2 linked regions of the Nothobranchius furzeri genome follow. The protein of the gene in region 1 binds, or shares a complex with, the protein of each later gene. Links are inferred from orthologs where the notes say so. Each region holds a gene or a part of one and is shown on either strand. Other genes may lie near its edges.

Region 1 (4,578 bases):
TCTGGTTTGTGTTTGGGTTGAATCTGTACATCTGTAAAGTTCTGGTCCTCCTGCAGCGAGTGCTGTGGTGCGTTGGAGTACTACGATAAAGCGTTCGATCGGATCACCACCCGCAACGAGAAGCAGCTGAAGAGCATCAAGAGGATTTTCCACACCGTCACCACCACCGATGATCCGGTCATCCGGAAGGTTGGTGGCTCCTCACCGGTCCAGCTCCTCCAGAGGCTCTGAATGTTTTCTGGGTGGAGTTCTAATCTGGTTCTGCCTTCCTCCAGCTGGCGAAGACTCAGGGCAACGTGTTTGCTACAGACGCTATCTTGGCCACATTGATGTGCTGCACACGCTCCGTCAACTCCTGGGACATCATCGTGCAGAGAGTCGGCAACAAGCTCTTCTTTGACAAGAGGGACAACTCTGACTTTGGTGAGTTTTGGGGAGTTCGCCGAACCTGCCTGAAAACGGAGGAGCTCTGGTTCCATCTGCAGTTGCAGCCAAAGGCATCAAACAAAACGCGATCACGTCTGCGTTTAACCTCCGATTAATGCAAGCAGAACGATTTATTTTAGGTTGTTTTCCTGAATTATTTGAACAGATTTGCTAACTGTGAGTGAAACCGCCAACGAGCCTCCTCAAGATGAGGGAAACTCCTTTAACTCTCCTCGTAACCTGGCGATGGAGGCCACCTACATCAACCACAACTTCAGCCAGCAGTGTTTACGTGTGGTGAGACCATCACACACAGATCCAAACACACACACTCACACACACACTCTAACGTTCAGCTGTGTTCAGGGAGGAGAACGGTACAAGTTCCCAAACCCTAACCCATTTGTGGAGGAAGACATGGACAAGAGCGAGGTGGCGTCTGTGGCCTACAGGTAGGTCCTGGGTTCTGGTGTTGGCTCCATCTGTGGGACGTGATAACCGGATCTTCTGACTGACTGGTGCTTTTTGGGGATTCAGGTACCGTCACTGGAAGCTCGGGGATGACATCGACCTGATCATCCGCTGTGAACATGACGGAGTGATGACTGGAGCGAATGGAGAGGTGTCCTTCATCAACGTCAAGACCCTGAACGAGTGGGACTCCAGGGTAGGAGACACCGTTACTGGTTTCAGAGAAGGGAACAAAAGCATGTCCAGTAAGACAGCAGCAGCTGGCTCTGGGTGCTGCGGCCAACAGGAGGCTGTGGGTGGCAACAGGCGGTTGGTTTCCTTTTGGACCGCTTCAGTTCTTAAAACACATGTTCCATGTTCTTATTTCCTGCAAACGAAATCTTTCTGTAACTTTTCTTGTCTTCAGCCTAAATAAAGGCTAACTTAAACTAGGGCTGCTCGATTATGGCAAAAATAATAATCACGATTATGGTGACTGAAATTGAGATCACGATTATTTAAGACGATTTTTCAATTTATGTTGATTTTATTTGTTTTTATTCAGTCACAAAATTGCTCAGGCCACAATCAGGACAACAATGAATAAGAAACAAGATGATCACTAAAGTAACTCCTGATTCCCAGTATAAAAAGACCAATATACTTATAGCTCATAGTCTATGACCCAAGGGCTGTAGACCTTGGTTTAACTCATGTAAGTCTAACCAGTACAGACCCAAATACCAATATCTTGCAAATACTGACAGCAAGAATTATACAGTGGCATTTATAACAAATAAATGCAAATAAATTGATGTTCACAAAATGTTGCATAATATTTATTTAGTCGTGTCAAAGTGCTGTAGGAGAGTGCACTAGCACCGTGTCCTCAGAGAGATTAGTTATCAGCGTGAGGAACTTATTTCTACCTTATTTATAAACTATTTATTTACAAGTCCATCAGTTAATGTAATAATTGTCTCAACCACAGCTGCACCCCCCACCCCCCACCCCGGTCTCACAGCAATCCGGGGCAAGCTGCACGTGTGTTTAGCACGCGCACATTTAGCCGTTTTTAGTGGCTCAGGAGTCCGCAGGTGCGGTGTGTGTGTCACTCACTCTGGTTAATCCAACAAGGAGCCGGCTCCGAGAGCAGTTTCTTAAGCGACTGACACATCACTACATCATTCCCTTTCCTAATGTCCTGAAGAACGGTCCGGACGCGCAGGCGGAGTGTTTAGCTAACCTGCAGGAAATGTCGACGACAGTTATCCAGAAAGTAGCTAAGGGTTACCAGAGATGTTTCTGAGGTGGTCGCTAGGTACTTTTAAGATTTAAAAAGTCAAGAAGGGGGTCTGAAAAGCTGTTAGAAATAGCGTCAAAGTCACTAAATTGGCAACACTGTGGGAGGAGCGCTTCATTTGTAACTCAGGGCAGCGCAAGCGGGAGGAGCAAATAATCGGCTTGTTTTGTTTTTTATAAACGTTCAAAACTCAGATCGTAATCGTGATTAAAATTCGATTAATTGAGCAGCCCTAACTTAAACTAATCTATCAAGTCTATAAGAGGTCAGAATTCATGTTTACAAACCCTCCGGCTGACTTCTGACAACCACCGCCTTCTTGGTCTTCCTGATCAGTGGGACGGTCCAAAAGTTCACATTTTCCTAAATAATAATTTACAGATTCAGATATCTAATTAACATAAATTATTCTTATTGCTGAAACCAGTCATCTCTATAATGTTGTTGGTTCATGTGCAGCAGCCCGGTTCTGACGGGGAGTTGTTGATCCATTCCTCATCTCTGTTTCATCTTCAGTATTGTAATGGAGTGGATTGGCGCCAGAAGTTGGACTCTCAGCGGGGAGCCGTTCTGGCCACCGAGCTGAAGAACAACAGCTACAAACTGGCCCGCTGGACCTGTTGTGCCATGCTGGCCGGGTCGGAGTATCTGAAACTGGGGTGAGTATGCCGACCCTGTGATGGGAGCTAATGGATGATGGTCATTAAGCAGGCTGGACCTGACTTCCACCACGTGTGCTCCTCAGGTACGTGTCTCGGTACCACGTGAAGGATTCTTCTCGTCACGTCATCCTGGGAACCCAGCAGTTCAAACCCAACGAGTTTGCCAGCCAGATCAACCTCAGCATGGAGAACGCCTGGGGGATCCTCCGCTGCGTCATCGACATCTGCCGCAAGCTGGATGAGGGCAAGTACCTGATCCTGAAGGACCCCAACAAGGTGAGTGGAAACGAGTCCCAGAGGACCAAAGACGGAGGTCCAGCTGACAAGTACTGACTCGTTCTCACTCTGGTTCCACTAAACAGCAAGTGATTCGAGTGTACAGCCTGCCTGAAGGTACCTTCAGCTCTGATGAGGAGGAGGAGGAAGAGGAGGATGAAGAGGATGAGGAGGAGGAAGGTCTGTTATTTTAAACTTGGTTTTTGAAAACCGTTTAGAGTGAAGTGACCTGAGAGATGAAGAGAAAACTAAAATCTTTTCAAAAGAAGGACCTGAATCATGCTGATGTACACTTTCCAGAGCAAAGATGGCCACAATAGAACCGTTGGCACTTTTGAAATGTGATTCTTTATAGAAGAAGTTATTTTCGTGACTTCAGAGGCTTTCAGGTTTCTGGATAAAAATACCATCTATCTACTTTGTTGTCTACCACATGTGCAGCACACGCATACGGAGAATGGAAACTATTTCCCTCTGACCCTTAGTGCAGTACATCAGCTTTAAAACGAGATCTGATGGTGTTTTTGTTTACATTGAAAGCATCTCCATATTCAACCTGATTTATTGATTTCTTGTTTCAGATGAAGAGAACTGAAATGTGGAGCTTCCTTCTGTGACCAAACCAGCCTTCATCTGGAGAAACAGTTGAATTGATTTTGACACTTAATAAAAACAGAATGGTCAAATTCAGTAAAGGATTATTGTGTAATTTTGTTTTTATTTCGGAGGAATACAAATAAGTCAAAAACAACTAGAGTTGTTTTCTGGTTCGTGACCAGCAAGGCTCTCGATTTACCGCCCAGTCCTCACCTTTGGTCATGAGCTTTGGGTAAAGACGGAAAGAACAAGATGGCGGATACAAGCGGTTGAAATGAGTTTTCTCCACGGGATGGCCGGGCTCGGCCTCATGGGCTCGACACACGGGAGGTGACATCGCCTCTCCATTCATGTTCAATCAGACGTGCGTGACAAAGCGATAATCGGGTCTCCCTCCTACTAAGCCAAATGCGAAAAACGTGCGTGTGAAATTTTGTGCTCGTGCACGTGTCGTGCACAGGCGACCCAGCGACGCGATCCCAGAAAGTTGAAATATTTTCAACTTTTCATCGCTGTCGCTCGGACGAGGACCAATCAACGGAGGTTTCATTCACTGACCAATGAGCAGACAGGATGCTCCTACACCTCCGAGCAAACATGGAGGAGAAGTTGATTATTATTATATTTTATAGTAAAATCAAAAGTAAGATTTCACATAACTCTAGCAGCACCTTGTGAAACATCATATCTAGCGCTTTATTAACTCTGAACCGCTTAAATAACCTTAATTCCCTCCAACCTGACACAGCCAAGCAAAACAACGGAAGTTTCCATTTCACCATGGAACAGAACGCGTAGACGGCTTTGCCGCTGCCGCGGGTCGCCTCCCGTGTGTTCGGTAATAAAAGCGACAGCGAGGAATTT
Region 2 (3,285 bases), on another chromosome or scaffold:
CAGAATTTTATTTAGACGTAACAGATTTTCTGAGTGATGATTAAAAACGCGACGATGGGAGGCGTCCTCCTGTTTAAAGTGAAAATAAAACTCTAATCTGACGCCAGTGACGTGGGATTACGTCAATTAGGAATCAGACTTTTCTAATGACTGAAGGATTTTTTGTGGTGAAATTTAAAACGGCACAAAAAAGATGAACTGTTTTTACAAACCAAGATGGCGACGTGCCCCCCTGACTTCACACTGCCACATGGGGGGGGGGGGGGGGGGGTAAATCTCATGCTCAAAATATGGAAGTGAGGTTATTTTTAAACCAGTCGAGGTAAGGATTATTGTCGGTGTGAATATGTTGTTCTATGGTGAACGGTGTCTGTTGAGTGGTGTTTAAAAGTATTTTTTATATTCTCATTTTGTAACTTTTTCTGTTATGAGCCATGAGATGTGTGTGGGGAAACTGCTGTGGGATGATCTAATAAAAGAAATATGCAATGACCTTTGACCTCTGTCACTGAGCCAACAGTTGGTTAACACTGCCACCGAATAGTAAAGCAAAGTACCTCCCAGAGAAAATTACTCAACAGTTTTATTGTTGCCTAGTAACAGAAAAGTTGTCATCACTAAGTAGAAGAGAGCGGTGCTGCTGGTCCGCTTCATCGGCTCGTAGCGCTCCCTGACGTGCTGGATGTGGTACCAGTGATGGTCATTTTCTTCAGTGTCCTGTTCAGCTGTAGAAAGAAGATTTATTCAATTCAACCAGAACAAACCAGCAGATAGTGTGATAAAAACCACTACTGACCTCTTCAAACTTGTGGATCTGTCTGATGAAAAAGTCTCCGTAGCGCCGAGCCACTTTAGTGTCAGCGATGTGGATCATGTCCTGTAGGGAGACGCGTTTTAGACGCAGCGTGGATAAAGAAAAGCTGATTTCTACGTTTCTGCATGTATTACAAATGAATCAGATCTAAATTTATATTTAAAATCTGTTTCTTGTTTGTGTCTCTATGTACAAACGGGGGAAAAAACATTTCTAATGTAGTTCATTGGTTAATGGCTATAGCGCCTTCATGGGTTTCCACAGCCCCCCAAAGCGCTTCATAACATAATCACCCATTCACATGCTGGTAGGGAGGAGCTACAATGTAGCCACGGAAGCCATCGGCCCCTCCGACCAACACCGGCAGGCAAGGTGGGTTAAGTGTCTTGCCCAAGGACACAACAGCAGAAACCTCTCTCCGGAGCCGGCATTGAACTAGCAAGCTTTATTTCCTGTTTTTAACCAAATATGGTTTTGTCTTAATTAAGATGTTATTTCTTAGCTTAAAACTCAAAAGTTTCACATTTTCATCATAACTTCATAAACAGGGCCTTCGCCTCTTGACAGCAGAAGCAACACAAGGTGCACTAGAGGTTATATTTATACCTAGAGATGAAACGTAATGTGGTTTGATATCTAGTCTGTACAATCTGGATGCATTTAAGCTCCGAACAGAAACCTTTCAGAGACAAACGAAACCAAATCCTTCAAATCCTCCCAACTCTTCTGCATTTCTCCAGTAAACTAGAATACAGAAAACAAAACTGCTCTTCATCACCTTGTCGATGTAAAAGTCGACTTCAGAGGCGGACTGGAACTCTCCATCCAGCGCCGAGATGCCGCTGGTCCACACCAAGTTCTTCATCTTGTGTTTGAAGACGAGCAGCTGGATCCGGAACTCCTGCTCCGTCATGTCGAGGAATCCTGCCAGCTTGGCCACAGGCATGGTGGTGTAGAGCTTCAGAAAGCTGAAAGGACGAGATGAGGTTAGGTACCGGACCACAAGGACCACTCCTCTGAACGCAGTCGGTTTGTACCTTCGGATGGTGGAGAGTTGGGCCTGCTGCTGCACCTCCTCAGCGAAGACCTTCCGCTGCTGCTCGAACGGCTCTTTGTGGTAGTTGGGGTGGACATTGTCGTAGTTCGGGACCACAGGTGACAAGAACTTGGGACAGGCGAAGCTGAAGAGCTCTTCAAACACTTGCAGGTCTCTTGAGACAGAGAAGGGGACAAATGGTTGATTCTGCTGCGATAATGTTGATCTAGCATCTTAGAAAAGCAGTTTTACTGTAAATAAACGAACGAACGTGATAGTTTCCTCACCCTTTCTGCATACGAAGCATCTTGTCTCCGTACTTCTCCCTCACCTGGGTGTGGATGCTCTCATCGATACGCATGGGGTACATGGTGAGAGCGATGGCCAGGAGGCCATGCATCTGCTCGTTTTGTTTGTTGATCTAAAAATGTGGGAAAATACCTTCTGTTGGTGTATTTTTTACATTTAAAAAGAACTCAATGACCAAAAGTTTCAGCATCTTCTGATACCAACTCAGCCCCTTAGAGGTAAGTGAATGGGGCGAGTGAAAAGAAATGAACACATAGCTGGAGAGAGAGGCAAAATGATAGATTAAGGTCATTTTTTTGGGAATACTGTAATATTCTCTAATTTTGGAAAGTTTTGTATTTTCAGAGGGAAAAAGTGTCAAATTTACAAGAAGGACGTCTGGATAAGAATTTTACTTCTTCCTAAGGCAGAGGCTCCAACCTGGAGGGTCACTTCGGTTTAATCTGGGTTTATGAGCAGTGTTGCCAACTGTTTTTGACTGAAAGAAGCTGAAGTTCCCCCCACACGTCGCTAGATGTCGCCAGATGACGCCACATGCTAATTTGCATATGACGTTATCTGGTTTGCGTGATGACGTCACCGGTCTGGTAGAGTAAATCAAATAAAACCCGTGTGATTTTATTAAAAAAAATTATTGAATTTATTTTTTAATATTTTATTTACATTAAAAAAACCATAGAATACAAAACAGCAGCCTTTAAAACATCAAGGAAAGATGGCACAAAATAAATGGAAGGAATATTTATATTTTGTCTGAAGAGAAGGGAACTCTTAAACACAAAAATGTGAAATTGATAGGAATGTATGTATGATTGAATTAAAATGAATTTTCTCTTGTAGTTTTCAAGCGCCTTGAGATGTATTCTTCTGTCGTGATTCAGTGCTATATATTGACCTAAAAGATAATACAGTAATCCCTCGCTACTTCGCGGTTCGTTCATCGCGGATTCGCTGCTTCGCGGATTTTTTCTTTGGAGCATTTTTCAGGGGGAATTCGCAGATTTGCGGTATTTTTCACTGATTCGTGGTATTTTTCACTGATTCGCGGTATTTTTCACTGATTTGCGGTATTTTTCTATGCGAAATATCAAGAAATTCTTGTTTTTTTTTCATCAATTTCATCATA

The links.
Region 2: eif3d (region 1) and eif3s6ip share a complex: the UniProt entries of both Homo sapiens proteins name them as parts of the eukaryotic translation initiation factor 3 (eIF-3) complex. The link is inferred for Nothobranchius furzeri from reciprocal best matches to the Homo sapiens genes EIF3D and EIF3L.

Annotation. Positions count from the first base shown.
Region 1 is NC_091745.1:29,243,332-29,247,909, forward strand, and holds the end of eif3d (eukaryotic translation initiation factor 3 subunit D), read left to right. Parts: intron 1-56; coding exon 57-189; intron 190-275; coding exon 276-423; intron 424-592; coding exon 593-723; intron 724-792; coding exon 793-878; intron 879-963; coding exon 964-1,093; intron 1,094-2,695; coding exon 2,696-2,838; intron 2,839-2,924; coding exon 2,925-3,117; intron 3,118-3,203; coding exon 3,204-3,297; intron 3,298-3,698; coding exon 3,699-3,712; 3' UTR 3,713-3,815; downstream 3,816-4,578. UniProt on the Homo sapiens protein: mRNA cap-binding component of the eukaryotic translation initiation factor 3 (eIF-3) complex, a complex required for several steps in the initiation of protein synthesis of a specialized repertoire of mRNAs.
Region 2 is NC_091752.1:5,210,742-5,214,026, forward strand, and holds the end of eif3s6ip (eukaryotic translation initiation factor 3 subunit L), read right to left. Parts: intron 2,272-3,285; coding exon 2,138-2,271; intron 2,026-2,137; coding exon 1,852-2,025; intron 1,783-1,851; coding exon 1,593-1,782; intron 878-1,592; coding exon 797-877; intron 726-796; coding exon 651-725; 3' UTR 566-650; downstream 1-565. UniProt on the Homo sapiens protein: Component of the eukaryotic translation initiation factor 3 (eIF-3) complex, which is required for several steps in the initiation of protein synthesis.